Xenopus tropicalis: one gene and its partner. The protein of the gene in region 1 purifies or fractionates together with the protein of each later gene. This does not show direct contact. Links are inferred from orthologs where the notes say so. Each region holds a gene or a part of one and is shown on either strand. Other genes may lie near its edges.

Region 1 (14,711 bases):
TGAAGCATTTCATAATTTCTTTCCAGTATTTTACAATTTGAGGGCAGGATCACATAATGTGGAAGTTGGCTTGAGGGCAATAGCAGCATGGGCAGGCCAAAGATCTATTTGAGTAGATTTTACTTAATCGAATGGTGATGTTGTAAAATTGGTGCAGGATTTAGAATTTTTTCAACAGTTTTTTTAACAGTTTGTCTCTAGTGGAGATTATATATTTATATATATATTATATATGGAATCCAGAATATGTGGCTTCTTCCCACTCGTCCGTAAGAATGAGGGAGAGAAAGGAGCCATTTGCTATGGGCTTTATCAAAAAGAGATAAAGGGTATTTTTTTATTGTCCGGTAGAGGTAGGATACTAATTTCTTAGTTTTCGGGTTCCTTAGTATTGTATCAATAGACTGGAATATGATCTGGTAAGATCGAATTTGGGCTTTAAAATCTTGCTTGAGTTGCATATACTTAGGGGCCCATTTACTTATTCACGAACGGGCCGAATGCGTCCGATTGCGTTTTTTTCGTAATGATCAGTATTTTGCGATTTTTCGGATAATTGTCGCAACTTTTTCGTTGCCATTCCGAATGTTGCGCAAAATCTGGCGATTTTTTCGTAGCGTTAATACTTGCGTGAAAAGTCGCAACTTTTTCGCAGCTTTCGCGCCGAGTACGAAAGATTCAGATTCATTCAAGCTTCAGTGTGGTGACTTTTCTTGGGCCGGGTTGGAGCTGCAGGGTGCCATTGAGTCCTATGGGAGGCTTCCAAAATCATGCTAAGTCTGAAAGTTTCGCCCGCCGCTTACGAGCGCTCAATACGAAAAAGTCGCGACAAGATACGAGCGCATCGTAATGGCTACAAAAAACTCGCGTTTTTTTCGCGCAAATCGTATTGGTAATGAAAAAGTCGCGACAATTTCCACAAAGTCGTAAAGGCGCCGAAAATTCGCAAAAAATACGAAAAAGTCGCAAAATGTTCGTTTTCCAATCGGAATTTTCCCAATTCGGATTCGAATTCGTGTCTTAGTAAATGTGCCCCTTAGGGTTCCATTGTCCAGAATGTCTCCCAATGTTTTAAATAAAGGTTTGGGCCAGTAAATTAAATCTGCAAAATATTGCAAGGGGGGGGAAGAAAATTGCCCCATAAGGGAAAGGGGGACTTTCTACGTTTGTGCAATGGGCAAGGGGACTTTCTACGTTTGTGCAATGGGCAAGAGATTCTAAAGATCCTAGAATTAATACATTCAAAAAGCATATTTGGATCATCTGCCTTCGGAACAAACAAGGAATGCAGGTGGGATAATAAATAATAGTGGCAGAGATTGTGAGGATTAAGGCCACCACGATCTTCCTGATCATAGGATGGAGTAGAGAATTCCATTAACTTTGAGAAAGAGTGACTTTGGGACTGGACCAGGGGAATTACAACATAAATACAGAAACTTCCTTTAAAAAAATCCCAATAGTGTATACTTACAAAAACAATATGACAAATAACTTTGTACAAGTAGTCATTCAGAGTCCAAGCAGAAGTTCCTCCCGAGGAAGCATGTTGTACCATGGACTCTCAATGACTTTTGTATAACGTTATTTATCATATTGTGTTTGTGAGTATACACAATTAGGATTTTTTCCCTATTAAAAAAGACATACTTCACTATCCAGCATTCCTGTTTTTATCCTGAATGTTTTTGGAGACTTCATGTAATTGTTTAACTCATATATCTCCCACGTCTGTGAGTAGGTAATCTACCCAGAGTGTTGCTATTGCACTGCATTGCACTTTCACTCTTTGGTTTTTATATATGGCAATTACAGAGTTTGTTTTTTTAAAGAATATGTGACAGTCCTGCAAGGTGGACTTATTGGGTGAGAGCTGCAAGCATCTTTATTCATGTCAGGATAAAGCACCGAACAGACTTTCTTTTTTCTAAGTGGGACCTCGGTTTATTTTCAAATTTTGGAAAGAGGAGGTTGGATAGCATTAATCTGATTCCCTCTTCCCCACCTTTGATTTTTCCCAGCAGGCAGTTATGGTAGCAGTGCTTTTATTAAGATCCCAGTAATTCTTATATTCTAGGGAGTTAGCTTGTAGTACTGAGGGGTTGGCTCACCAAAGTCTCCACAGCCAATCCTCAGGTTCACATATAGCAAGAAGTGATCGATATATTTTGTTTTATGCATTACGGAGTCACAGGAATATTGGGTAAGATCCAGGATTTTCCATTTCCATATTTCGGTGAGGTTCATTAGTGTTAGTCCTGTTGGCTAAAGGCATGGGAGATTTTGTGATGTAATGAGTTAAAGTTCCCTAGAATATACATGGGAGTGGGTATTCACTTGTAACTTAATGTGCCAAATGATGTACAGCAATATCCCACCTACAGCCCCTTTCTCAAGCACTTTTCCCACCTTCTCTACTTCCTATAAGAATACAGACTTATATTGCTATTTTTGTCCTTATCTCCCAGCACTTCTCATTAACACCTTTCTTCCTTTGAACTTCCCAACTAATATTAACCATGTGTACTTTAAAGAATATGGTCAGGTAGTGTTTCCTGATGCATCAGGACGCATGCAGGGCTGTTTTAATAAATGGGCAAAGGGGGCATTTGCCCAGGGCCCACCAGGAGAGGGGGCCCACTAGCACACCTTTTGTCCGAGATAACTTTTGCCGCCTTTTAATCAACTGAAGGAGCTCTATGGTATGGTTATTTTAATATCTTTGTATTTTTTTCCTGCGGCATTGCCATTTTGTATCTTCCTGCTCCCAGGGCTGTTGGTCCAGGGCGGCACACCTGGTCATCATATCTACTTTCGTAAGCACAGACCATTTCACCGTCTGCTTTACAATATTTAGAACTTCGTGTGCTTTAGAATTATTCGATCACAAATTTCTTTGCCCAAGGCCATTGGTACCTTAAAGTGGCCCTGGGAACATGGCTATCAGACCCAGTTTGGTCAGGTCCACTTTTACAAGGAATACAAATGTAGCTGTCCCGCTTGACATATATACTTGCCACTTTGTTTTTAGGGGGCGACTGTAAAAATAAGGTGCAATACTGTTGTTGGTCTGGTTGCTCAAGATTAGCACAACTGTTCCAACAACTGCAAGAGAACTGCCTGACCAAACCCTACAACGTTTATGAAACCCTGGCCTAAGACCTTTCTATTTTTTTTTATATAAAATACCAATATGTTTTCCTAACATTTCAGTGTGTATTTAAGTTATGTTGGAATAGAATTATCTGAATTGATGTACATGTCTGATGAAGTTGTCTTTAACGGAAGATATTGCTTCTTTTTAGAGGTTCTTAGAGATGTGGTATTTCTTGTAGAAGTTTCTGCATTGACCTATTGTGGTAAAAAGGCCATAATAAAAACATTACTTTCTCTCATACAAGCTTTTCTATGGGAATCTCTTTTATAGGTTGCATTAGAACAGCATTGTAATCTGTGAACTGTGTAATTCCAATATGAAGCTGAAGAACATTGTGTCTCACAGAAGCCACAAGCCCTCGTTGTTATCAGCTTTTATAGCAAAGAGATCATGTAGAGCTATTTTGTCTCCATAAAGAATTTGATTGTGCATGAAAGTACATTGTCCCCATGCAGGCCTTTGCTGAATAGCTCCAAAGGCTCCTAATTATATATTATCTCTCTGTTTCAGTCGGGGTATATACTTTCGACAAGACCAAGCAGTGCATTGGCACCATGACCATAGAGATCGACTTCCTGCAGAAGAAGAGCATTGATTCCAACCCTTATGACACGGACAGAATGGCAGCAGAATTCATTCAGCAGTTCAACAACCAGGCCTTCTCCGTTGGCCAGCAGGTGGGTTATATCCCTGCCATGTTCCGCTCTCCCACCCACCCCTGAGTCTATATCTACATGAATAGTGCTGCTTGGCTCAATCTGTATGCTCCAGCTCTGGATTTTCTTAACATTTCTATACTTGTTGCCTTGTATTGTTCCTGAGGTTGTAAGTTATCCTTGATGCCAATGTTTTTTATAGGGAAGTATAAAGTAGTATGAAGGCCATATTTAATGGAAACCCGAGCCATTCCCTACTTTCTTAATGTTTGCACCAGACATGCTTTCTCTGTGTTTTCTCTTTTTATTATCCCTCTTGTTTCTCTTGTCCATTCTCACTTTTCTCTCCCACAGTTTGTCCTCACCTATTTTAGAAAATAAGTCTGTGTTCCAGTAATCAGTAAATTAGATTTACATTGTAATGATTTATAATAATTTTTTTTTACAAAAGCTCTGGCTTTTTTACAATATTAGAAGCAAAATGATGACTTCAAAATGATGTCAATAAACATCTGAACTCACTGTTTATAGGACATTTTTGCACACTGTATGCATCTCTACTCTCACAAAGTACGCATGTATAATTGTTACCTCCTCCCTTTTTACAGCTGGTGTTTAGTTTCAATGACAAGCTTTTTGGGTTAGTGGTGAAAGACATAGAGGCCATGGATCCAAGCATTTTAAAGGGAGAACAGTCAACAGGAAAGAGGCAGAAGGTAAGGCCATTACATCATATCCACAGACCAAATACAAATGCGATATTTGCACATATTGTAAAGATAAGTGGGTGGAAATGTGAGATTGTAACATTTCAAATTCTCAGCGTTCTCTTCCTCTTATTGCCTTAATATGTGCACACTCATAACTGTACATATATCATTAAAGACTAGGATGGTCAGCTGTCTCTCACACGCATGTGCATGCCTTTGGCTAGCTGTACTGTAAATATGTTAAGCTGAAGTACCCCTTTCAGGTGGCGAATGTAGGGACACTCTAAGCCTGAGTGCCTCGTGCTGTAGGCATTGTTCCTGGGGATTGGTGCCATAGTGCATATTAGGTAGAAAATGATACTGTAGCCAAAAATCTTGATTTATACCTTTGTGCTGTGTTTACAGATTTTTAATTTGTTACTGTTCATGCATTTCTATTTCCTACAGATAGAAGTTGGACTGGTGGTTGGGAACAGCCAGGTGGTGTTTGAGAAGGCTGACAGCTCTTCTCTGAATCTCACAGGTAAGTTCTTTTAGACTGCCGTAGGGAACAGGACACTGCTCACAACTCAAGCAAACCATAGGGTGGTCTTCCATGATGAGTAAATAATTATTGTATTTTTCTGTATGCACTAAATTTGCGGGTCCTGCATCCCACCTTGCTGCAGGCAATCACCCATTGTTTGGGTTGTGCAGGTGTGCAAATCCATTGGTTGCAGGGGGGTTCATTTTTATTCCAGGAGGCTCAGTCATCCACATTGAATCCTACCAGCACAGGTTATCCCCAACCCCCTGCTTTTTATATTACTGTGCTGGGCTCTGGAGAGTCAGAGCTCGGGGTAGGACATTATGATTATTTACTGTAGTTGCTCTATTCCCCTAATATGTTGCTTAGTTTGAAAACCCCCCGAGGTTCCAAATGCTCATATGTAATGTTTCATTGTATCGAATGCAGTTCCTTATTTCATATTTAGCCACAGATCCTTTCTAATATTGTTGGTTCTTCCTTTTCACAGTGATAATGCTACACTTCTGAGTGGGTAATGTCTGTAGCATTTAGTCCCTCCCATTAAACGGGATTTTAAGGGGCAGAGATTAGGACATTAGGAAGGCAATGAAAGTTGCTTCCCCAATGAACATGTAGTTTTAAAATATTTATTTATTTAAACAGGTAGAGCTGCTAGCGTTTTTACAAAAACATCTTTCTGTCCATCTATTTAGGCAAATCAAAGACAAGGCAGGACCGTCAATCTATAATCAACCCAGACTGGAATTTTGAGAAGATGGGCATTGGAGGGCTGGACAAGGAGTTCTCAGATATCTTCAGAAGAGCCTTTGCCTCCCGAGTCTTCCCACCAGAGATTGTGGAGCAAATGGGTATGATGTCCTATATCACTGTGCCAACAGCATTTGGAAGACAGTGGGCACAAACCAACAATAGTAGCAGTGAATCTCATTGTGAAGGGGCATAGTGACCTTACCAGAAAGCTATTCAGCACATGCAGAAGCACTGGATTTCATTTCTCCGTGGGAGACACGGTTCTAGTTGTGCAGCCATTAAAGCCTCCAACTGAATGTCTGAATGCAGACATCCATAGATAAACTTGAAATCACATTCATGTCAAGATGCTTCCTATAGTGCTTTTGTTTCTTTGAGACTAGTGCTTTGCCTGTGTGTCTCTTGGTATGTGCCACCTGTGAGGCAGGTAAAGGTCACCCTCTAACTGTATTAGGCCAGGATGACAGACCTCTTCATATCTTGACACACACAGCTGTCACCAGTGGCAAGTAATCCCCTGTGCGCCAAAAAAAAGCAAATGGAAAAGGCCAAATCCCCATTTCTCCCACCTCTAATCTTCCCAGAGCTTTACAAAGATAGGCAGTAACTGTAAAGGTTGTGTACAAGGCAGGAACAAGTTTAGCTGCCAGCAGAGACACATATAAGGGCTGAGCTGTGCCAAGGTCTGCATCTTTACCATTGTTCTTTCAGACAGTTAATTTACTATGTTCCTATCAGTATCTTGTTTGCGCATGATATGTTTGCGCATGATGCCTAGTAATTTTCCTGAATGCTGGCTGATAGGCCAGTATTGTAGATAAGAGTGTCCTATAATCATATTTTGAAGACTAGTATTAACCCATGAGTCGAAATTAGGCTGCCCTTTGCCTGCAGTGTAGATCAAAGGCTCCCTAAGATACAGAAATATGCAGTGCATTTCATGCTGTCAGTGTATCTCAGAGCATCTTTGGGGGGCTGTGGGTCTTACATCACTATTTCTACTTTGGTAATACCCACCTGAATGTTCCCCATTAAAACGGAAGTCTGAGGCAGCTATTCCTTCCTACAGGCTGCAAGCATGTAAAAGGCATTCTTCTGTTTGGCCCACCTGGTTGTGGCAAGACCCTGATGGCTCGACAGATCGGTAAAATGTTGAATGCCCGGGAACCCAAAGTGGTGAATGGCCCTGAAATTCTGAACAAGTATGTGGGAGAGTCAGAGGCAAACATCCGCAAACTCTTTGCAGACGCAGAGGAGGAACAGAGAAGGGTAAGGTTCCCTATAGGGAATAAGCAGTGAATAGTGTTTTTCTTGCTCCTTTTTATTATTTAGTTCTGTTGCCCTTAGAAATGGAGCATACATGTTGGTAATGTGGGGGAAGGGCTCGCTAGGTGACACCTTCTGAATTGTGTTATTTGTATGTTTTATGGAACCAGTTGTACATTTTTGCCATGATATTATTTTTTTTTCTTGTGCCTCAGCTGGGTGCCAATAGTGGGCTGCACATAATCATCTTTGATGAAATAGATGCCATCTGCAAGCAAAGAGGTAGCATGGCTGGCAGCACTGGGGTGCATGATACTGTGGTCAACCAGCTGCTGTCCAAGATAGATGGTGTGGAGCAGCTCAACAACATTCTAGTGATTGGTAAGATGCTGGGGAAGAGCTTCTATGTACAGGGGAGGCACAGTGCTGCCTTATTGTGTCTGACTTACCTTCTTTCCCTGTTTCTCCTACCCAGGTATGACTAACAGGCCTGATCTGATAGATGAAGCTCTTCTGAGACCTGGAAGATTGGAAGTGAAGATGGAGATTGGTAAGTTAGTCAACCATTAGCCCATGTTTTGCATTAAAAGTATACTTAGTCAGATCTGTGCCTTCCATGTAACAGGCTAACAGACAAATTATAGGCCTATTTAGAAACATGGGGTAGGTCGCATGTTTCAGTACAGGCCCAAATTAGTTTGTGGCAGCTACTCCTCTAAAATTACCTGTGATTTGGGATTTGCTACAGATTGCTGTGCTTGTTCTGGTGGAGTGCTTATATTCTAGATATCCGATAGATGTTCATTTTACATCTGCAGTGCCCAGCAATGATTGCTGTTGCTGAAAGTATTTCCGTTGGTTATTGTGTCTAGAACTTTCATTTTGCCTGACCCTGACAGCTGTTTCAGTGCATTTAGATTCACACACTATTATCTTACTGAGTGAGTCAGCATTCATTGATTTACAGTAATTGTATCTGTTTGGATACATGTAATACTCTGCTATGAAAGCTTGTAATAAGTGTTTTGCAGATATTTATTTAGACATTTTTATGAATTCTGCTCATGTTTCCAGGGCTTCCTGACGAGAAGGGTCGCCTGCAGATATTGCACATCCATACAGCTCGGATGAGGGAGCACAGTCTTCTCTCATCAGATGTGGATGTTGGTGAACTGGCACAAGAAACCAAAAATTTCTCTGGAGCAGAACTGGAGGGGCTGGTGAGGGCAGCCCAGTCAACAGCTATGAATCGGCACATCAAGGTGAGACGCAAGTGCCGCTGGCACCCATACAGCACAACATTGAGCCTTTGAGCCAGCACAGACTAGGTTATGTTATAACCAGCTATGCAATATACAACATTGTATTACGGTGTAAGAAATGCTCAAAAGGTTCCTGCACATGAGATTGTTCATCGCTACACAGCAGAATAATCATCACTTGTTACTTTCCCTAGTAATTAAAACAGTGACAGTTTCTGTCTAACTGTGGCTATTATTAAGAAGATATTAGACCATCACAACAGCCTTACTTTTCCATGCCCATGTTGCATTGTTCTGTATTACCTCTATGAGAATCCAGCATTGGGCATGCTATGTTGTGAGTGTGAGCAACCAAACATGGCCACTATAGACATAACTACAGCATAACTAAAACAGGAATAAACCCCTGTATTTACTTATAGGCACTACAGAATATCCTGTATAACTATTCTAAGCATAAGACTTCCCTTGTACTACAATTCACTAGAAACACTTATCTACCGTGTTGTAGATCATTAAACCCCTTGTTTATGATCTCTGTGCAACAATATCCTATCTGTATTCAAGATGTGACATTTCTTACATCTCCTTGGTACTAATTGCAACCTCTCTTCCTCTCAGGCAACCAACAAAGTGGAGGTTGATATGGAAAAGGCAGAACGCCTGCAAGTGACAAAAGGCGATTTCTTCACTTCTTTAGGGAATGACATAAAACCTGTAAGTGGTCTATAGATTTACTAAGCTACTCCCATATGAGTTTATTGCCTGAAAAGCCAACACTGAATGAAACCCTGCACCGAGCAACTCAACAACAATCTTTAACTCCAGTTATAGTTCCTGAATTTTAAGAATGAACGAACTGAGTACAAACCAAGCTACACTTCTTTCCAATTTTATATGCATTAAATTGAACCTCAACGTATTTTGACTGTCCGTTCATTTGATTTTTTTTTTTAAACTCCTTTTAGGCTTTTGGAACAAACCAAGAGGACTATGCCAGCTACATTATGAATGGCATTATTAAATGGGGCGACCCTGTTACTCGGGTTCTTGATGATGGAGAGCTGTTAGTCCAGCAAACGAAAAACAGTGATCGTACTCCACTTGTTAGCGTTTTACTTGAAGGTGAGAGCTTAGTGGAGCAGAGATGGTTATGACGGCCTATGACAGAAATTAAGGAACTTTTTGGTTCAATTTACTCTTTCAGGACCTACATTTGTTGAGGCTCCTCTTTTAGTGATTCAACCACAGTTTCAGGAATACCTCAGACAGCAAATAAGTGCCAAATCTCAACTTGATTGAAATTCAAGCTAGAATACATTAAGTTAACTTTTAGTATGTTATAGAATGGCCAGTTCTTAGCAGCTTTTCAGTTGGTCATCTTCTTATTTTTTTATTGTTTTTGAATTATTTGTCTTGCTCTTATGACTCTTTCCAGCTTTCAAAAGGGGTTACTGACCCCGGTAGCCAAATTTGATTGCTAATTGAGGCTACAATCTCATTGTTTTTGTTCCTTTTTATTATTTATCTTTCTATTTAGACCCACTCCTATTCATATTCCAGTTTCTCATTCAAACCACTGCCTGGTTGCTAGGGTAATTTGAAGAGCTGCTGAAAATAAACAAAATAATTCAAAACCCACAAATAATGAAAAATGAAGATTAAAGGCAAATTGTACCAGAATAGCACTAGTTAATTTAAAGCTGAATAACCTCTTTAAGAGTACCTAGGAGATCAAAGTGCTATTTCCAAATCTTACCCTCATTCTTACCATAACCTTCTCACAGTTTTCGGTACCAAGGGCCAAAAGAAGATCTTTTGTAAATGCCATGAAATTAAACAGAGTGTGCTGATATGTAAAAAAAACTGCCATTAAATACTGCAATATTTGCATTTATCTATACAGGACCTCCACATAGTGGCAAAACAGCCCTGGCTGCCAAGATCTCAGAGGAATCTAACTTTCCTTTTATTAAGATTTGCTCACCGGAGAAGATGATTGGGTTCTCTGAGACAGCCAAGTGCCAGGCCATAAAGAAGGTGAGAAATAAAAATGTTTTTTTGCTTCACTATTAAAGCTTTTTTTTTTTTTGCCCCATGATTTACATATCAGCTTCTATCTGTCACATTTTAAAACCCCCCCCCCTTTTATTTTGCCTTTTCCCTTTCTATTCTGCTTTTGTAAAGAAGTGCTTTCCTTCCATTGCCAGATCTTTGAAGATGCGTACAAATCACAGCTGAGCTGTGTCGTGGTCGATGACATTGAGAGGCTCCTAGGTAAGGGTGTTCACCTTACCAATTGTTGATTGTTTATTATGTATCATAGGTAGTTAATTTACCTCTTTTCCTGCCAGATTATGTCCCTATTGGTCCTCGCTTCTCCAACCTAGTGCTGCAGGCTCTACTTGTCCTTTTGAAGAAGGCCCCTCCTCAGGTAAAAGAGCTAAAGTTTGGTAACTAATACAAACGCTAATATAATATACTTTTCACCATTGATATCCTTCTTTCTACCACTTTTCTAAAGGGTCGCAAGCTGCTAATTATTGGCACCACCAGCCGGAAGGATGTGCTTCAGGAAATGGAAATGCTTGATGCATTTAGCACAACCATTCGTGTCCCAAATATCGTCACAGGTGAACAACTCATGGAAGCCTTAGAGGTGAGGTCATGACTTGTGTTCTTTCAAGTGGGGAGGTGTGTGCTTAGCTAAATTGCCTTGTTTTTGGCAGACCTGGCCATTTTGAGTACACAGAGGCCCAAATAGCCCCCCTGACATCCCACTCCATAATTACTGTCTATGGCATCTTACTTAAGCCTGTCTGGCATTTCCCGAATCCGCATATTGCCAGTCCAGGCCTGGCTGTTAGACAAAACTAGAGTCAAAATATTAGAAAGGAGACTCAACAGTAGATCCTAAATCTAGAAGTAAAAGTATTATTGCCAGTATAGGGCACTTCAGATTCGAATATTTTTTAACATTATTGCATTTCTATGTATGCAGTGGAATTATTATGAGAGGAATGTGCAATAACACTTCCGATACATTGGTCTGACATCTCCTATAATTCTCCTTAAATATTCACAGAGCCCTGTTAGTGTGGGGTTCTATTTCTAAAACTATAGGATGGCACAGGAGTGGTTTAATCACTGGAGTATGGCATGGAGCAATGATATGGCATAAGGCATAACGGGGTGGGGGGGATTTATTTTTTTGTGTTATGTACAAAACCAAAAGAAAACAGTAATTGGAAAGACGGGCTGTGGAAACAACCTCCATAATGTTGGCTTATAGCCTTGTTCCCTCTACAAAGCACATCCTAGTAACTAATATGCTTGAACCTGAGTATCTTTAACCAGCCACATTGGCACCATCATAACAAACTTTGTTGACTCTTTGTTTCCTGTTTCAACAGCTCCTGGGAGGTTTCAAGGACAACGAAAGATCAGTAATCGCTCAACAAGTTAAAGGCAAAAAAGTGTATATTGGAATCAAAAAACTGCTGATGCTTATTGAGATGTCCATGCAGGTAAGTGGTGAGCCGATGGTTTAGATTTCTGTATAATGCTGATGCGGGTATACTTGCCTCCCTCATTGATGCTTGCAATGACTAAAGATTATTTTTAGCATGCTTAATTTTACCTGCTTTTGCAGATGGATCCAGAATACCGGGTTAGCAAGTTCCTTGCTCTTCTCAAAGAAGAGGCAGCGTAAGTATTTTCACTCACAACTTACAACCAACTTCCAAACCTCTCAACTTATTTTCGCAAGTTCCATTCCCCCAGAATCTTCTTTTATGTATAAAATGATTAGATAATGGTATTTGGGGGTTACATGATACTGCTGAATGACGATGTACATAATGTATCCAGCATTCTTTAACTGTCTGCCTGTTTCTAGCCGTGGAGCCCTGTAATTATTAGTTGTGCTAAGCAGAAACTCTCTTCTGCCTTATCTAGTATAAATAAATCTAAAGCAACTGGACTTGTTAAGTAATCATTGAAGACTTCTCTCTTCTGCCTTCTTTCTTTTAAGAGAGCCCGTCCATCGTGGCTATGACTAACATACTGTCTCTCCCAGATGGAAGTGAACATTGAAGCCGTTACCACATTAAGACGTTAAACATTCCCCAAAGTGCAGCTCTACCAGGGAAGGCTGGATTCTCGAATTGTGCTGCTGGCTCTGTGATTTCTCCGTCACGTGGTGCATGTTCTTAATAAATACCTTCTTGTCCGTCGTCCGAAGCTGTCGCAATACTTCCCTCTCTATCAGCTTCCTGAACTACAAATGCCCAAAGCAGGCTGTGATCCACTGCTGTCTTTCAATAGGTATTCTGTAACTCTGAGATGGTAATTGGTAAGCTTCTCAGATAACCTTTAAAGGGCCGCGATAACTTTATTTTTACCCTATGTATTTTTCTAATAGAAATATTAAAAATGAAACAATTTCCCTTTTTGTTTTGTTTCCCCCTGGCTTCTACGAAGGTGCAGTTTCAGCCTTGTCTAAACTGCCATTGTCACAGGAAATCTTTGTTTGCTGCAAGTGTATTGCTACACTGGAAGCAAATAAAGACGATTGCCTGTACAATGGATTGTACTATTGCCAGAAGTTAGCTGGCGGAGGGAAAAGTTGACCAGCAGGGTGGTAGGATTTTATTGTGGGCTGCAGCAAAAATATAAAAAGATTACTTCTCTGCCCTAGTATATGTATGCCTCCATACTAGGCACAATTCTCCATGGAGATATAAGGGGGTCAGAAATAGACAGCTATATTACCATGCAGTAGTGCATTAGGTTAATGGACGAAAGTTGTTAAATTCAAGGCCCAGACACTATATAAGACACTGTATTATATACTATTGTTGAAAGAGTTACAGATCGCTATGCCCTAGTGCAGGGATCACTAATGATTTGATCACAGGCTTAGGCTTTGCATGCCCTGCTGAAATCTGCCTGGCCACAGTGGGGGGGTATGGACACCGCAATGGTTTGCTCATCAGTATCTTAGATAAGAGCCAATGGGATTTGTGGGGCCCAGCCTTCCCCCAGTATGTGCATAATGTTCGTCGGATCCTTGGCCCTATGACGTTCTCTTGAGGTAATAAGTGCTGTGATTATGTTGCTGCTTTTCTTTGCCTCCCTTACCTTTCATAGCCCATGGCTGCCCACATCCCCCACACCTTTCCACTCCACTGTACATGTATATTTTTATTGTGAATTTTGAGTATTTTGTGGGATATCGCAACTGAAACCAGTTGCAGTAAAGTTATTATTTATCCGACACGCCTCGTCTGAATTTATCTTCATGGATATGATAAATGGGGGGTGCTTGGGGATTTATAGCCCTATGCAAAATATTATAATATTTGCCACTTTTTGGGGTGCAAGCAAAAAGCTAATATTCAGTAGAATTGGGTGTGAGATCTAAAGAGTCCCCTGAATGTGTTGCCCAGGTGGAAATGCCATGCTTAAAAAGCATTTTCTGAATGAATAAGTTAGAAATGCTCCTAAATAACAGGTACAGTAAGGTTGAAGAGAGCTACGGAAGAGTTTTATAGAAGGTTCATGTCCCCTCAAAATATTAGAAGGGTCATTTACACTGGCATCCGACTGTGCAAAGTGCCATATTTTTCACCCACAATGCAAAGTTCCACCCTCCCCCCCCTAAAATTCCAGCGTAAATGTGGCTGTGCATGGAGTTGCACCGTCCCCAGTTGTGCCTGATACATAAAGATGGGCGCAATGGCATGGGCTTGTGCGATTCTTCAAGCTTACAGGGTTAAAACAGCATTAGTGTGTGATTCTTTTGCCACAAGACTACTACTGTGCCTATTAAAGTGGTAGCCATGGAATTCCTGTCACCTACTGGGTGGCAGTTGCTCCAGGGTACCTCCAAGTACCTTTAAAAACAGGCAGCATATGAGTCCATTTGAGTGCTGGAGTGTTCATAAATGGCCCTGAGCAGCGGTATGAGAGTCAGAGATAATAATTCATTCAGCTGTGAATAGTCAGCCTTGTCTGCAAAGGTTAAATATTGCAAAAATTGCACCTGTTAGCCCAGAATATAACAAAACAGCAGTGTTCTCGAAGGCTGTTGTAACTAGACTATCCAGGAGGTGGCAGCAAATTCTAATATATCTTCCTGCAAAACTGATAGATTAGAGACACAGACACTCTATGTGTCATTTTCTATAGCAATAGAGGCATATTGATATCACTGGCCTAAAATTATATGAAAACATATATTAAAAAGGAAATGGCCCTCATTAAAAGTAAACTCTTACCTTTCCTGGAAATGTTTAGTAAACCCATGCACACAGGCTGGAGAATTCCTGTATTACAACAGTTTCACAGCAAGGTGGCATCTGTGAGTCTTTCTACCCG
Region 2 (16,064 bases), on another chromosome or scaffold:
TTATATATTAAAAGAAACCAAAAACCCATTACACCACTTCAGTTTTTATACCACTTCTGTTCTCTGGTCCTGGCTTGAACTGCATTTGCTCCTGGCCAACAAAGAGCAGGAAGAGGTAGTCAAGCAGCCAGAGGAAATATCTGCTAACCCCCATGAGCTACTGCCTTGCATTATGTGGTACAGGAGTGAGGCTATATTACCGGTGCATAGGTTGCAAGGTTCAAAAGGCCTCAGTAGAGGACAAAGTGGATTTAAGGGGTTCTGTTCTTCATTAACCAATAATACTGAAGACATAGTTTGTGACAGGTACATTAATACCTAATTTAAGGTCTTATAGCAACAAAGGCAATATTTATGCTGTGTGTTGCTCTAAGTCATATCTTTTGCTAACAGCTGTAGATAAATTAACAGACCTTACTTTTTAACAACCTCTTCTAATTGCTGATGCCAACCCATTGCATACAATGTTGAAGAGTTAACTGGTACTTAGATTTGAAGAGCACTGCAAGTCTGTGTAAATGATAATATATTAAAATCAGTGCTGTCAGCAGAATGCATGAGTCTAATAGAATAGCATAGATGTTTACTTCTAACACTGACAAACTGCACAGTAGAAATGGATCAAATGTAATTGTGTTTATAATCTCATTTTTTCCTTGTGTGCTGCTTCCTCAGGTTAGCTGGTCTCCATCGGTACAGGCCAGACAAAGCATCTTCTGTGCCTCAACAAAAAAGCACAATGGGAGCATCATCAGAGCCATGGACCATCCTTTATAGCATATCCAAACCCTTTGCCCAAATTTTCTATCCAAACTCTTTGGTGGCTTTACTGATCCTTTAATATTATTAATTTACCTGAACTGTCCAGCACCCAGGTTATCTCCAGTGAACAGGCTGTTTCTGGCATCACGCAGGTTTTCTCTCAGTTTCTTATCAAGTTTCTAAAAGGCAAATAAAAATGTGAGTGGTCTAGATGGGTGCTAATTTTGCACTGGAACACACAGGAAACTGATAACTTGGGATCAGCTATGGTACTCACCACTGCCACCATTTCTGCAGCATTTCCCCTTGCACATCGTATAATGGGCACAGCACCTATAGTAGATAGTGTGAACATTATGAGACCTAAGCCTCTATATACAAGAGAACATATATAGCAGCCATCACCCTAAGAGACTTTATGTTAAAAGAACACATAGCAAGCATGTTCTATAAAACAATAGGGCTTTACTGAAATAGGTGCTAAATTGCACCAATGACATTACCAATGTAAACCAACAAGCATTTAGATTTGATTATACTGCAAGTAAAAGTGTCCATACACGGAAAGATTTAAGCTACTCATTTGGCCCCTTTAATTTATATGCCCATGGATGGGGCCCTCTGACACACCTAACCGACTGATATCTGACCGAAATTCAGCCAGATGACAAATCGGGAACGTTTGATTTTCCCACTGGATTGAGGACCCCATCAGCCCATTGATGCAATCCTGGCAGTCTGTATCCCACTTGCTGCAATCCAGTGGGCATATTGGGGAAAGATCAAATTGTTTGGTGACCTAGACCATTCACCATTATCCAGTGGGTAGCAAGGTATTTGTCCTGTGGGTACTGCACTTCTTGAATCACCACAAGAAAAAATAAAAAATAACATTGACACTACAAAATAACTGATGGGACTTTCATAGGCAGAAGGAAGATTATAGAATTCATGCTCCTGTCCTAAGGAAGTTTAACCCATGGAACCTATGTCCCCCAGTTCTAGGGAAGAGAAGTATGCTTTTTTAACTTATGCCTACTAAATATAACACTTTTTTGGCCTAGCAATAAACATATCTGTTATTAGGTGCCACTATGGCCTGCATTTTCTTAAAATGGCCCAATAAACCAATGTGCTCTGCACACGCTTGTTAATACCAAACTGGAAACTTCCTGCTCAGACAATGAAGAACATACCCAGTGTGACGAAGAAGCAGAAAAGGCTGTCAACAATTGTGTCCATCACTGTTTCCATTTCTGTGTCCGTGATATCAGATCTGTTTAAAGCTGGAGAAACAACACATTCAGATAAGTAAAAGAGAAAAATGGCCCAGTGCTTGAACTGAGGGGCTTTCAACTGAACCTCAGTCTGCAGTCAGTCAGCTAAGTGAGCTACACATCATGCTGAGCAGAGGGTCTAGATTAAGGCAAGAGTAACTTGTAATTTTGTGAACTTTATATGTCTATTATTTACTAGACTGCCCTTTTCTCCTAGATATCAATACACTATAATGAGTCATCTTTGTAAAACTTTTATGTATATATATACACTACTAATATACTGCTTGAACACATGGATTTTTTTTTTCTATTCTGGCCTGTTTATATGTTCCTGACTCCTAATTAGCCATCCAAGTTTCTAATTGGTTAATTACGTTTACATCAGCTAATTACTTTTGAAAAACCATTGGCTCCCTTTGTCTTAAATACTTTGTGTATGTCAATTCTCATTCAGCCAATGATTAAGTACCGTGAGGTACGAAACGCGTTAGGCTCTCTGTATCATGTGTTAGCTTAATAAAAGTTTTGTGATTTTACTTCTACTTCTCATGAACAATCGCTTTTCTTCACTGACAACACCGGAGTGCCTGCCTTCTCTCTATATTTAAGAGTAACTTGTAACTCACATAGGTAACTGCTAATTTCAGGGGCAGCTCACAGAAGTGGAGTTTATTTACCATATTACTTAATGTTTTTGAGAAATACTTTCATTCAGTTTTAGCAGCCTTTTACACTTTATACATTATAGTGCAGAAACATAACCAAAAACTCTGCACATGTAAATGGGCTAATTGCATCCCTTAGCCCTAAATAAAATCCCTTTCACTTACCCCGGTAAGACACCAGGTCCTTGTTTTGGTTACACAGCAGAAACATGTCATCCTCTAAAGTAATAAAATTCAGGTATTGGTCAAAAACCTGGTGGGAAACAAAACATAGAAATGAAACCCATGATAGTGTAACGGCCACTAAAATTTGTGAAAATCAGTCAGTTATCTATTGGGAAGCTCTGATTGGGCCTCCATTACTACCCACTCATTGGCTTAGGGGCCAAACCATCTATCAGTCTGAGCTGGTCTAGGTAATACGCACGTTTAGCAACCATACCATAACCTAGAGAGGACTCCAAACCACCCTAAGAAATGTGGCGCTTATGTTACCTTTGAGACATGAGACACAGTGTTGGCTGTTAATGCTGCACTTGCGATATCCTCTAGTTTGCTGCGAGAAATGGCGGAGATGAAGTTTAAATAATAGGACTCATACAACTGTGTCCTTAGGTCCTGCAATAAGGATGAAAGAATAAAGTATGTTTGGTACCATAAGTATAACTATACACCATTACAAGTTATTCACAAATTACATATAATCAAAGCATTCTCTCTTATTGAGAAATCTTGTTTCTGATTGGCGATGCTTTACATATATCTTAGGAAATATCAGGCATTCAGTACTAATTACCTGGCATATCCTGTCCACATTTTCCTCTGTGGGCATTACAAAATATACAGCGGGGACATCTGGAATAGCATCACGATCTGAATGTAAAAGCCTAATGGGAGGGAAGCCATGGAGGTTATCGCAATACTTTACACATGTTGGTTGGTAAACAGCAGAAGGTTGGATAAAGCCTTAACATGTTTATACAAAACCCAAACAAAATCATTGAAACCATTTTGCAATGGATAAGACACATAATAGAGACACTGTAGGTAATGGAATAATGTGATTTGGGGAATTTTGCCCTCAGTGCTTTAAAATGCCTTAAGGTACCATATGTGGGCCAATAAAAGCTACTGATGGAGTGTTGGCAGCTTATTGGCCCATGTATGGGGCCCTCCAATGGGCCTATTTGACTGATATCTGGCTTAAAGTAGAGAAAATGTTGAAGCAAAGTGATTAAGCTGCCCATACACGGGCAGATCCGCTCGCCTGGTGATGTCGCCAAGCGAGCAGATCTTCACCCGATATCCCCACCTATGGGTGGGCTATATCAGGGAACCTGTAGGCGAATTCGATCGTTTGGCCCTGGGGCCAAACGATATAATTCTAACGGCAGCAATGGGGCAGTCGGTTCGGGGACCGCATCAACGAGCCGATGCGGTCCCCGATCTGACTGAATTTTCTAACCTGGCCGATCGATATCTAGCCAATTTCAGGCCAGATATCGGTCGGCCAGGCCCCTCGTTTCTGCCCCTACACGGGCCAATAAGCTGCCGAATCGGTCCAAGGGACCGTTATCGGCAGCTACAATCGGCCCGTGTATGGGGACCTTAAATGCCAATTCTAAAATTCAGTGATAAGGCGAAGCCCAGCCTGAAACAGATTATCTTACAAATGTAAAGTGACTCCCATGTCTCTTAATTCCTTCACCGACAGAAGAGGAGAGATAATGTCCTGGCCAAATCGATCGTAAATAAGAACCTGAAGTGAAAGCAAAAAATAATATTAGATTTAATTAAAGAATTAGCTACAGGCAAAAATGTACCTTCAGTAACAAATACATTTTGAGGAAAGGCATGGTTCAGTCGTAGGGAATTAGGTTTCGGCTTGAGCAAAATTTCAGTATTTATCCAAAGCAATGTCCCAATCCTTAATTGTCAAGTGACTTTAATGCACTGACTTGGCTGCCAGTCCACACACAGGTCTGGTGATTATCACTAGAAAACTGTGCTGTTGCCCTTACCCTGTAAAATGATTTAAAAGGGACAGTACACACCTAAAAATACCTTTGCTAAATGAGAACAATCAATAGCACTGTTCATTTAATTAATAAAATCCACGTCTCCCTGTTTTTTACCATTACAGAGCAATAACTGCATTTTTTTTAACTGAATAGCTCCCCCCTTTTCCCATTATAAAAGGGGCAATTTGTTCAGAGAATCTGTCTTAGAACAAACAAAACCCTCTCCTCCCTAAGCTACAACCTTTGAGCAGCTGCTCGTCAGAACCAGGAAGTAACAGAAAGTGCTAAAGTGATACTGGTTTTGATTCTCTTCTTTAGTGCCAGAAATATCATAAGTTATAAATATTTCTTAATTAAAACAATAGGTATTTTCTGCAAGCAGTAGCTAGGAGCTCTCACCTTCCATACTGGCTCTCCTGTGCTGCTCTTTACAAGGGGAACATTGAAATTCAGCATACGCTTTAAAGCAACTAGAAAAACAACAACAGTAATTAATAAACCTACACTTACCAGTGTAAATATTTTAGGAAAACAAAAAAAACTCTTCAGTGGGTAAAAGATCAGTTCATAAGCTAAATAACATAAATTGTGCTTACATTAGCATTTCTCACATTATTGGTTCAACTTGACATTGGACATACAAAATTACACACAAAGCAACCAGTAACTGCTTGCAATCTATAAGGGAAAGGGGTTGAGACACAAGGTATGGGTCATGTATGCATTCTTTAAAGAAGAACAAAAAGGCACAATTACTGGGGCACACAAAGTTGTTAGGCACCCATAGTCATTCTAATTCCTTCCTTCACAAGTGCTCCTCTTCAAAAATGCCTCAGCCCAGGATACTTTTCCTGCATGCACTGACATTTTGCACTTTAAGGAGAAGGAAAGTCATTTTGGCATTTTACTGCCAATAGATTCGCCACATTAATGCCACCTACAACGCCATATTTATTCTGCAGAAAGCTTTACTATACCTGAGTAAACAGGCCTAGAAGCTCCCTCTGATAGCAGCTGCCATTTTAGCTTGGTCTTGGTAGCTTCCTGCTGTAGTTATAGCCGTTGGAAGCTAAGATCACACATTCCTAAGGGAGGGGGGAATGAGTTCTTATGCATTCTTATGGAAGAGGGTGCAGGAGAAGGGAGTGTGAGAGGGAGAGAGGGAGAACTGAGTAGACTCAAGCCCCAAACCTGACAGAGCCCTAAAAGAGAGGAAGTCTGATACCAAAGAACATGTTCCTAAAAAAGGAGACACAAAATCACGTGTTCTTTTGATAGAGGACTCAGTGCAGCGTTTCTGTGAGTGCTTATGGTTGTATTTACATAGACCTTTCTGATAAAGCTTACTTAGTTTTTACCTTTCCTTCTCCTTTAAGTTTAACACTGTGGGGTGTATTTATTAACATACAGTAGAAGACAAACATCCCTGGTAATGTTGCCCAAAATAACAAATCAGATCTTTGCTTTTGTTTTCTAACTTGTAGATGACCATTCCAATATCATTCCTGATTAGTTACTATGGGCAACATCATCGGTATGTTTGCCTCCATTATTAATAAATATGCCACTGTGTGTGTAGGTTTTTCACTCCTCAGGGTAGGCAGGGGTTGCCTGAGACACAGAAATGACATAGCAAACAGGTGTTTCCAGTTCTGCTGTCCAAACTCTTCTGCAGCTGCACAAACTGGCAGGGTTGAAACCACCGGGACCCTGCTACACCCATCTACGTATGACTGTTATCGAAAGAGGTCTTCATGCAAGAGTTGACACTAAAGCTGTTCATACACCAGCGGATCTTTCCCCGATATGCCCACCATGAGATGGGCTATATTGGATTGATATAATCAAATAACATTGACGGGATGCAGGGCATTGGGACAAAAACTGCATCAATGCACCAATGCACTCCTCGACCGAAGTGATTTTTAAACATGCCCGATCGTCATCTGGTTGTTTTTCAGCCAGATATTTGTTGGCCAATAAGATGCCACCAATAAAGCAATGTCTCCAAGGTGGAAACAAAACCAAACAGCTCAGCTACATGCAAAAACATGCAACATTTGGATCTAGTAGAAGGCATGGTGTCTGCTGGAAGACAGACAAGTTTTAGTGGACCAAGGAGTGAGTGCCATTTCTCTTCAAACTGATGGTGTCTGCTGGAGACACCAATAAATGCCACGCAGTGAAGTACTGAGGAGTTTCCCTGTGGTTTGGGGATGCATTTTCTTCAAATGGAGTTTGGTCAAAAACGGCACAATTACTGCTGGGAAGTACAGGCATATTCTTATCCATCACGCAGTACCATCGGGAAGGCATCTGATCTGTCCCAAATTCATTCTGCTGCATCACAATGCCCCTGAACACACAGCCAAAATCATAAAACTATTGGAAACAGAGAACAGGGAATCGTGCCACAGATAATATGGCCCCCACAGAGCCCTGACCTCAGCACCTTCGAGCTAGTCTGGCAGAAGCCAAAATATCCTGTGAGTACCTACATAAACTGCACGAAAATGGACCAAATATTCATTTCACATATTCTTTACTACTGCACTTTTTAGTACAGGTATGGAATCCGATATCCAAAAACCTGAAACGTCCAAATTATGGGAAGGCTGTTTGCCATAGACTCCACTTTAATAAAATAATTCAGATCTTTAAAAATAAGTTTCTTTTTCTCTATAATAATAAAACATTATCTTGTACTTGTTTCCAGATAAAATTTAAATACAGCTAAAATATAAAATATAATATATTGGAGGCAAAACAATCCTACTGGGTTTAATAATGTGTCAATTATTTTTTTTGTAGACTTAATTTATAGAGATCCAAATGACAGAAAGAAAACCCCACTTCCCTAGCATTCTGGATAAAAGGTCCCATACCTGTACTGTGTATCTATTTGTAGCAGCTCACATAGTGTTTATACATGATTTACACAAGCCCAACAAATCAGCCCGTGTTAAAGGGGATATTTTTTCCTTTTAAAGTCTCTATTGGCTGGGACTGACTTTATGCAACAGCTTCCTGTATCTTAACGATTCTTCTGCCATCCATCTGTGGAGCTTATTTGAACACCTTCCCAATATGCTTTATGCAGCCAACTAGTCATCTTTAAATGAAACTTTAGTATGATATAGACAGTTATTCTGATACAATTGATAATTGGTCTTAATTTATACATTTTTTTGTTGTTTAAGAATTATTGAAAAGAGGCAGAACAGAAAGGCAAATAATTCAAAACTATAACAAATAAAAAAAAAAAAGACAACATTTTTTTAAAAATAAGAAATTTTATAACATACAAGTTAACAAGGTAGGGTAGCACTGCTGCCTTACAGAACTGGTGTCCTAAGTTTAATTTTAGGCACAATCTGCAAGGAGTCGGGCAATACGGCCGGTCTCCTCCCCATCACATGCATGCTAAAGAGTGCACCCATGTGGGGTGTATTCATGGGGGGAGCGCCGCAGCTTGGGCAAGAAAGCCCAGACTAGGGGTAGGCAGAAGAAGTAAGTTCCACTGGAGCAATGAACCATGTATAATTTTTGTTAAACAGTGCAGAAATGTGTAAGTACTATATAAATAGCAGAAAATAAATTACTAAATAAATAAGGAGAAATCAGATGCCTATTTTCTTAGGGTGAAGACACACTGAGCTACTAATAGCAGCTACTTTTTCATGGCAACTAAACTCCAGAAAATACCCTGCCATAGACGGTACTGAGACTTGCATCTGCTAAAACACATGTAGAGACAATTATCAGTAAATGATCAGCATTGTCTATTTCTGTAGCCACAACAAGTAGCTGCTACTAGTAGCTCTGTGTGTCTTCACACTTACAGTTCAATAAGCACCAATTATAGCTGATGACACCAATAAGCACAGTTTATAAGAATATAATTTACAGGATATTTATGGATTGTGTGTTATAAACAATGAACCCGCCTGTATGTTTTGGAGTGTGGGAGAAAGTCCCTAGCACTACAGGGCAGCAATGCTAGCCTCTGCTCAGCAATTCTCATATTTTATTGTAATGAGCAAGGGGCACTGATTAAATGGTGGCCAAGCAAGGGAGTGTCTGGATGAAGATCTCTTGGTGCTGAGCTGTGTCAGGGCTATTTCATGTGATTTATATGCTGCCTGTTAATCCTTTTGCCCCTAATTTTTTGTCTTAGGTATTAGTGCCCCCTCCCACACACACACACACACACACACACACACACACACTTATAAACACTGAAAGGTGCCCTGCTAATCAGCTTTCATCAAAATGACGTGGGTGGTGTAAGTTTCAGTTCAGCAACAGCTGGACAGTCCCAGGTCTTACTGTGTGTCAGCCATTAGGAACGACATGTTAGTGTCATGCAACTCGTATAGGGAAGTCTAATCCCATTCGTACAATCACAACTTTCGGTTTCTGGCCGGTGCCTGATTTCCTTTCTCCGTTGCCAAATTCCGTTCTCTCAAATAGTTCGCTCTCTCTCCCATTACTAAATGCCCCTCCATCACCACTAGCTCTGTTTGCGAGATTCCCAGTTTTACCCCAGCATCTCCCAATTCTCACCCGTCTGCTTCTCCCGGATAGAAGCAGCCATCTTGGTCTCTCAAGCTCCGCCTCTCGCCCTGACATCAATAGAGGTGACGTGGCAAAGGAGCGAATGCCCTGCTGGCTGACAGCTGTCTCCAGAGCAACGGGGGCGGAGTCTGCAAGCCTACCGCTTATACTGGAAGCTGCTGTTGACTAACACGGAAGTCACGGTCTAATAGGAAGTGTGTGCCTGCGTTCCAAGCTGGTACAGGGCAATGGCATCTGTGATTTACCCAAGCCGCATTGTGCAGTACAAAATATATTCAGTTTAGAACAAGGCGAGAGAGAATGGTACCAGAAGTACTCAGGGCAGCAGGTTAAAATACCCTCAGACAGCTTTGCAGCTTGGGAAAACAACCTAGACTCGGACTAATCTGTTAAAGCTTTTGCACAGGCAACCAGTTATGTACCCAAGCTTCCCATGGTAAGGTGCCATACACACTCACTATTTATTGGGCTGTTTGGACCTCTGTGTAGTTTGCATCCCAGGCCTGGCCCATGGAGGCTATTTGGGCCTTTTTACTCTGTTGCACATTTGCTGGTCCAGGGCAACAGAAGAACTGAAAAGCATTAAATGGTAAGTGATTATAATCACTAGTGGGCACCTAAAATTTTGCAAGCTCTCTGTGATTTTAACTTTCCTTCTCCTTTAAAATGTACCATGATGGCAGTTAGGCAAGTTTATGGCCACTTTTGGCCTACAATACGAGTCCTAGTTTGGGGAGTATTTATTAAACACTGGAGGACAAACATCGCTGGTGATGTTGTTCATAGCAACTAATCAGCAAGTTACAAGTTAGAAAACAAAAGCAAAGGTCTGATTGTTGCTATGAGCAACATCTCCAGTGATGTTTGTCTCCATTGTTAATAAATAGGTCCCAGTGTGCAGATAGACAGTAAAGGTCCCCATGCACTGGCCGACTATAGCTGCCGATATCGGTCCCTTGGACTGATTCGGCAGCTAATCGGCCCGTGTATGGGGAGAGCAGAGCGGCCTGGCCGACCGATATCTGGCCTGAGATCTCGATCGGCCAGGTTAGAAAATCAGGTCGGATCGGGGACCGCATCGGCTCGTTGATGCGGTCCCCGATCCGACTGCCCCATTGCCGACCACATAATCCGATCGTTTGGCCCCAGGTCCAAACGATCGGATTATTTTATTTTTTTTACCTAAATGCTCCCCGATATCGCCCACCCGTAGGTGGGGATATCGGGGGAAGATCCGCTCGCTTGGTGACATCGCCAAGCGAGCGGATCTGCTCGTGTATGGCCACCTTTACCTGGCTCAGGATAGATTAGGGTTTACGTAAATACAAATAGATTGACCAGACGAGCACAGGGAATAACAATAGGGTTTGTTGCAGAAAACATTGATCTACATATTTTGGCTGGTTTGAGCTTTCTCACATATGCACAGCTTGGGGTATTTGTTTGAATGCAAGCTGAGACTGATGAATTAAAAGTCACATTACCTCTTTAAAGGAGAAGGAAACATCACTGATCTCAGCAGAAAAAAAAATTGTTCTGCAAGGCTACAAATTTATTGTTGTTTTCTATTGCATCATTCCAGTCTTTCATTCAAACCGTTGCCTGGTTGCTATGATAAATTAGATCTTAGCAACCAGATAAAAAAAATGAATATCAAATACAAAAATTGTATCAGATTATCATTGTCTACATCCTACTAAATCTTAATTTAGAAGTACACTACCCACTATATATGTCTGTAGTAATACTTGTTCACCCATTTTGTACAGCTCAGATAAATATATCCATGCCTTTTACTGACCAGTAAATAAAATATTCCTGCCTTCTACCGGCCACTAAGTATAATATCCCTCCCCTCTACTGACCACTAAGTATAATGCATAATTTTGAAAAATACATTTGCTGTATAACAAGCACATCAATCCCCTTGACTTTCCAGAATACCTATTCACCACTAGAAAGATGCTGACCACCCCAGGACTGTTGTGGACCATTTTGTTTGGTACAAAAGGGTTATCTTGTGGCATAACTTCCTGAAAGTTACTGTTATGAGGGAGAGAAAATAGCACTGGGTAAATGATATTGCCCATTGAACCACAACACTGATGCAGAGCTGGTCTGAAAGGTGCAGCAACCTTCTCAGAAGACAGAGGGAAGCCCTGTGCTTTTGTTTAATATCTTTTAATTTGTCTTTGAAACACCCATTCAAAGACTCTTTGGAAGAGTCTACCTCCAGGGGGCTTTAGCCAGAGATCAACACCAGAGAGCCAACATAGAGGTCACAACTATAGCTGCTTCACCTAGAAAATTCCCTTCATTAATTCTTTGAACGTTTACTTCTAGATCAGTGACTTTAATTTTACAAGGTAAAATGAATCAGAATCAGTGTAGAACATTGTTTCAATGTGTGTGGCTTGCACTGGGGACCCTAAGGCCTAAGCCACACAGGACGATTCTTGGCCTGCAGATAAACGCAGGTCAGTAACCAAGTCCCTACATCGGTTTCAGCCTTTCCCTGTGCCTTAACCCAGAGGCGTTGTGGTTGCCCAGGTGCAGAAATACTGAGATTTAGTTGCATTTTGCCGCCAAAACCTGCTTCATGTGTCTACACATGAATAGGCTGTTCGGAGTGTAGGGGCTGGCCGAGAATCAGCCGCTTGTGGCTGTAGCCTTATATTAAGTGGGTTCCAAACAACTTGCTATCATAGGACTGCAGCATACACAGACATAAAATGCTAAAAGCAGCATAAAGTGGGACACATTTATTGGAAAAAATTAAAACCCTTTGAATTAATTCTGTAAAAAAAACAAGTTAGGCAAGTTCAGGCTTTACCATAGTTTGATATAAATCGATTTAATTGCATTAACATTTAATTACAGGAAACAACCTATGTACATTGGTTATCAAAACAAGAAGAAAAAAAAAATAGATTAGTATGAAAAGTTTTTGAGCATTTTATGACCCTTGGCTGTAGGTTGTTCATAGTTGTTAGACACTTCAGTCTAAATAGAATTCTCAGAAATAACTACAGTTGTGCCTAACATTGTAACTGGATTGCTGCTATTCATGTCCCAGTATTAATACCGCAGTATATCAAATACAAGCTACAGCTCATAACTATAAATTATGTTGTAGAAAATGCAGTGAATGAATAGCTTTTACAAAAATACAGGAATAGGCATCTTCTGGTATTACAGTCATCATTCCACAAAAGTTTATTTTATAGAATCTCAAGAGACACCCTTACAAAGCCTCTCAGTAGATGGTATAACAGTATACCCTCTGCATATCGGAAATACTACAGACAATTGGAATTTAAAAATTCTTAAGTTGCACAGATTTTGAACAAGAACAAACAAAACAAAAAAAAGTATGAGGGATGTATACATAACTATGAGTGGTGACAATGTTCTGGGCATTTCTTCATAGTAAAAATCACAATGGCTCAGCCATATAGCTGCACAGACAGCTACAGTTACTCAGATAAATAAGATCCTATGTCTACTTCCATAAAGTGTGTATAATGCAAAAGGAATATGGGGGGGGGGGGCATACAGATTTCTACAAATTTTGATTTGTGGATGTCTTAACTCTGTCTTAAGCCTTATGGCTGCCTGCTAAAAACTATGTATACAAAGTCCTCTCCAATCAGTATGCTTTGTCCAGGACAGTTGCAGACCTCTCTATTATAAATAGCAAGTGTTGCCTTCAAATGCACACCAAGGCCTTTCCCCTCTGTCTCATATGGTTATAATGCATTTAATTATACCCTATAAGCTTTCCTTACTTTCAGCAGTGCAGAATGACACAAATGTAATAGGTCATAGTGATGAGAAACGGTTTTTCTAGGATGAGGACAAATCAATGGATTCTTTAATCAATATCAGTGTTAACAAAGAAAACACTGACATAGCATTAGGCAGCCTTGACTGGAGGTTCCTATATAAACACCACAATTCAGAAGTTTGTGGGAGGCTAGTACAATATAAAACACTGAGCCATGGAGAGATGCAAAAACACAACAATTTAGCACATGGGTCTTTACTGTGATTCATTTGTACATGAGTTCAGTGCACATACATTGCACGGCTGTATGTTAAACTGTGAGCACAGTCAACTGCCTGTTTAATGTGCATCACTTGTATGCATTTAACATATGTACCAGCACTGAAGTAGAATACTGACACCAAAGCAGCTCATAGCACAAACAGACCCTTTGACACTTGCTTGTATATACTTGTGATGTCTGATTTAACCAGCCACTAACATTGACATTAAAAATACCACCACTATTCAGCAGGTAAGAGAAAACTGGAATAAACAAAGAGGCTTAGGGAAAGGTGTCTTGCCCAGTTGAAGGATTACTCAATGAAAGTAAAAAATGACAGTCAAAAGGGTGCTAAAAAACGGATTTAGAGGTGTGTTAAAAACAGTTAAATTGATGAAATAGCACTAACAGCTAGCATTAAAATAAATAAATTAGCGAGACAACCCCAACAGACACAACGTATTTAACTGTAAGTCATAAACACAAAGGAAGAATGACACAATATCCCAATACTCTGTGTCCTTAATAAACGGAATACCCGCCTGAAACAGAAAACAGAGGCAGTTTGTACAGTATCAGTGTACTGTAGCATGCAACTAGCGACACATTCAAATATTTCTAAGGCAACTGTATGGCGTCCTAGACCCAACAAACATTAATTTGGCAAAAATAAGAAACACAGAACATATAAATATTTTACAAAGCCAATCTGTCCATTCAGATCGGTAGCTTAAATCAGCCTGCTTCCTCTCACAGTTTCCAATGGCCTGGCCCAATACAGGGATAAGGGAGTTTACTAAATGGCATTGTTACAAGCCTTCCAAGAGAGATTTTTTTGTTTAACCTCTTAAGTAGGAAGATCTGCAATGCACAGCAGAACAGATTTCTACAATGTATAAAATGTTAAAAGGCATTAAAACAAATCATTGCATTATTCATTTTTAATTGTAAGAGATAAACACTTCATTATTGTTCTGCTGAAAATAAGAGCTTAAACCTGTATGAACTATGGTTTCAACCAACTTCTTCTGGAAGTCACAATTTATAGAGAACTATACTACAAAATCCTTTTTAGTTTGATGATGCTCAATAGGGATGAAAGCAGAATGCCTTCCAGAAAAGGCAGCAATGATTTAAAAAAAAAAAAAAATCTCCTGAGGAAGTGCTTAGCTCAGCTTTTTCATCTCAGTATTGCAGGCAAAGATTTGTAAAATTGCACAGTTCCACGTCTTGTCTGGCAAAGAATACTGCTGGTGCCATTTCAAAGGCTCCGGAAGGTCAGTTGGCCTTTGTAGTTCAGTAAGAGGCCACAGAGCAAGTCACAGCAGCATTTATTCTCCAAGCAATGTTACGAAAGAAACAATCAAATGAAGAAGCCCAAGGCAAAAGTCTGCAACTATGCTTTGCACAGAAAGGTACATAATGCTTTGTTCATGCTTCTGGTGAAATCCAAATAGCTGGAGAAGGAAGGTAATTCCAGGCAGTTAATGTATTTGCGTGCTTTAGGCTGTGCCATTTGCTTAAACCGGATGGACGGTCGTGGATCGAAGCCTGCAGGCGGAACAGAGGGCAAACCTGTTGCAAAGTTCAGAATATCCTCCAAGGAGCATACAGTTGTCCCTTCTGCAAAAAAATGAAGTTTATGTTAAGATACTATCAACATAGAAAATGACACTCAAATACTGAGTGGTCCTTCAAAGAACTAACAACCATCACATGATATAAAACAGTGGCTTATAGGCAGGAATTATAGCTTAAATAAACAGTAACACCAAAAAATGAAAGTGTGTAAAAGTAACTAAAATATAATGTGCTGTTGCCCTGCACTGGTAAAAGTTGTGTGTTTACTTCAAAAAGTCTACTATAATTTATATAAATAAGCTGCTATGTAGCCATGGAGGCAGCCATTCAAAGGGGAAAAGGCACAGGCACATAGCAGATAACAGATAAAACACTATTGTATTCTACAGAACTTATCTGTTATCTGCTATGTAACCTGTGCCTTTTCTCCTTTTTTCCCAGCTTGAATGGCTGCCCCTGTGGCTACACAGCAGCTTATTATATAAATTATAGTAGTGTTACTGTAGCAAACACAACAGTTTTACCAGTGCAGGGCAACAGTATATTATATTTTTATTACTTTAAAGCTCTTTCATTTTTTGGTGTTACTGTTCCTTTAAATGTGTTAACTAAGCAAAGAAACCCTTTTCATATAGGGTCCACAGTTCTTTCAAAATGATTAGAGATCAATTTGGATTATTTAAAAATATTTCACAGCTAAAACACTAATGGAGAAAAGCCTTGTAGTTATATAGAAAGAACACTGGCTGCCACAAATTATTACATGGGATACATCACAGCTGGATTCCCTTGGAGGGGATATTTTAAATTCTGTTAAGACATCTATCCAAAAAAAAGTTGATCTTTAAAAGAGTAAATCTTTATCCATCTGAATGAAATTAACACAAAGAAAATCTGATAAGTATATTTAAATATCTGGTACATAAATTAATTAATTATTTGGGATAACCAGCTCTCCAAAATAAAAACAAACAAAAAAAAAAAACTCTAACCTTCTGTGTCTTCCAGATAATCTACCCAGAAGCCGAGAGCATCACTCTGCTGCTTTACACCGAGGTCTGTATGTGTCACAGTGAACAGGTCGGTCATGGATTTAGCAGTTAGTTTCTCTGGTCCCAAGACCAGGAC

What was found.
Region 2: the proteins of nsf (region 1) and scfd1 purify together in Homo sapiens (affinity purification with mass spectrometry; 3 studies listed by BioGRID and IntAct, with this or other methods). This does not show direct contact. The link is inferred for Xenopus tropicalis from reciprocal best matches to the Homo sapiens genes NSF and SCFD1.

Annotation. Positions count from the first base shown.
Region 1 is NC_030686.2:15,510,900-15,525,610, reverse strand, and holds the end of nsf (vesicle-fusing ATPase), read left to right. Parts: intron 1-3,667; coding exon 3,668-3,834; intron 3,835-4,421; coding exon 4,422-4,529; intron 4,530-4,970; coding exon 4,971-5,046; intron 5,047-5,744; coding exon 5,745-5,900; intron 5,901-6,871; coding exon 6,872-7,071; intron 7,072-7,283; coding exon 7,284-7,449; intron 7,450-7,543; coding exon 7,544-7,618; intron 7,619-8,142; coding exon 8,143-8,330; intron 8,331-8,951; coding exon 8,952-9,047; intron 9,048-9,298; coding exon 9,299-9,455; intron 9,456-10,236; coding exon 10,237-10,370; intron 10,371-10,540; coding exon 10,541-10,607; intron 10,608-10,684; coding exon 10,685-10,764; intron 10,765-10,854; coding exon 10,855-10,989; intron 10,990-11,743; coding exon 11,744-11,857; intron 11,858-11,982; coding exon 11,983-12,038; intron 12,039-12,363; coding exon of another isoform or gene 12,364-12,391; exon of another isoform or gene 12,392-12,408; coding exon 12,409-12,418; 3' UTR 12,419-12,775; downstream 12,776-14,711.
Region 2 is NC_030684.2:113,041,240-113,057,303, reverse strand, and holds the start of scfd1 (sec1 family domain-containing protein 1), read right to left. Parts: upstream 9,365-16,064; 5' UTR 9,326-9,364; coding exon 9,295-9,325; intron 5,199-9,294; coding exon 5,128-5,198; intron 4,467-5,127; coding exon 4,378-4,466; intron 3,595-4,377; coding exon 3,504-3,594; intron 3,326-3,503; coding exon 3,203-3,325; intron 2,961-3,202; coding exon 2,873-2,960; intron 2,049-2,872; coding exon 1,959-2,048; intron 1,096-1,958; coding exon 1,040-1,095; intron 942-1,039; coding exon 856-941; intron 1-855. Other genes in the region: g2e3 (G2/M phase-specific E3 ubiquitin-protein ligase), read right to left, coding at 14,752-14,978, 15,929-16,064. UniProt on the Homo sapiens protein: Plays a role in SNARE-pin assembly and Golgi-to-ER retrograde transport via its interaction with COG4. Involved in vesicular transport between the endoplasmic reticulum and the Golgi.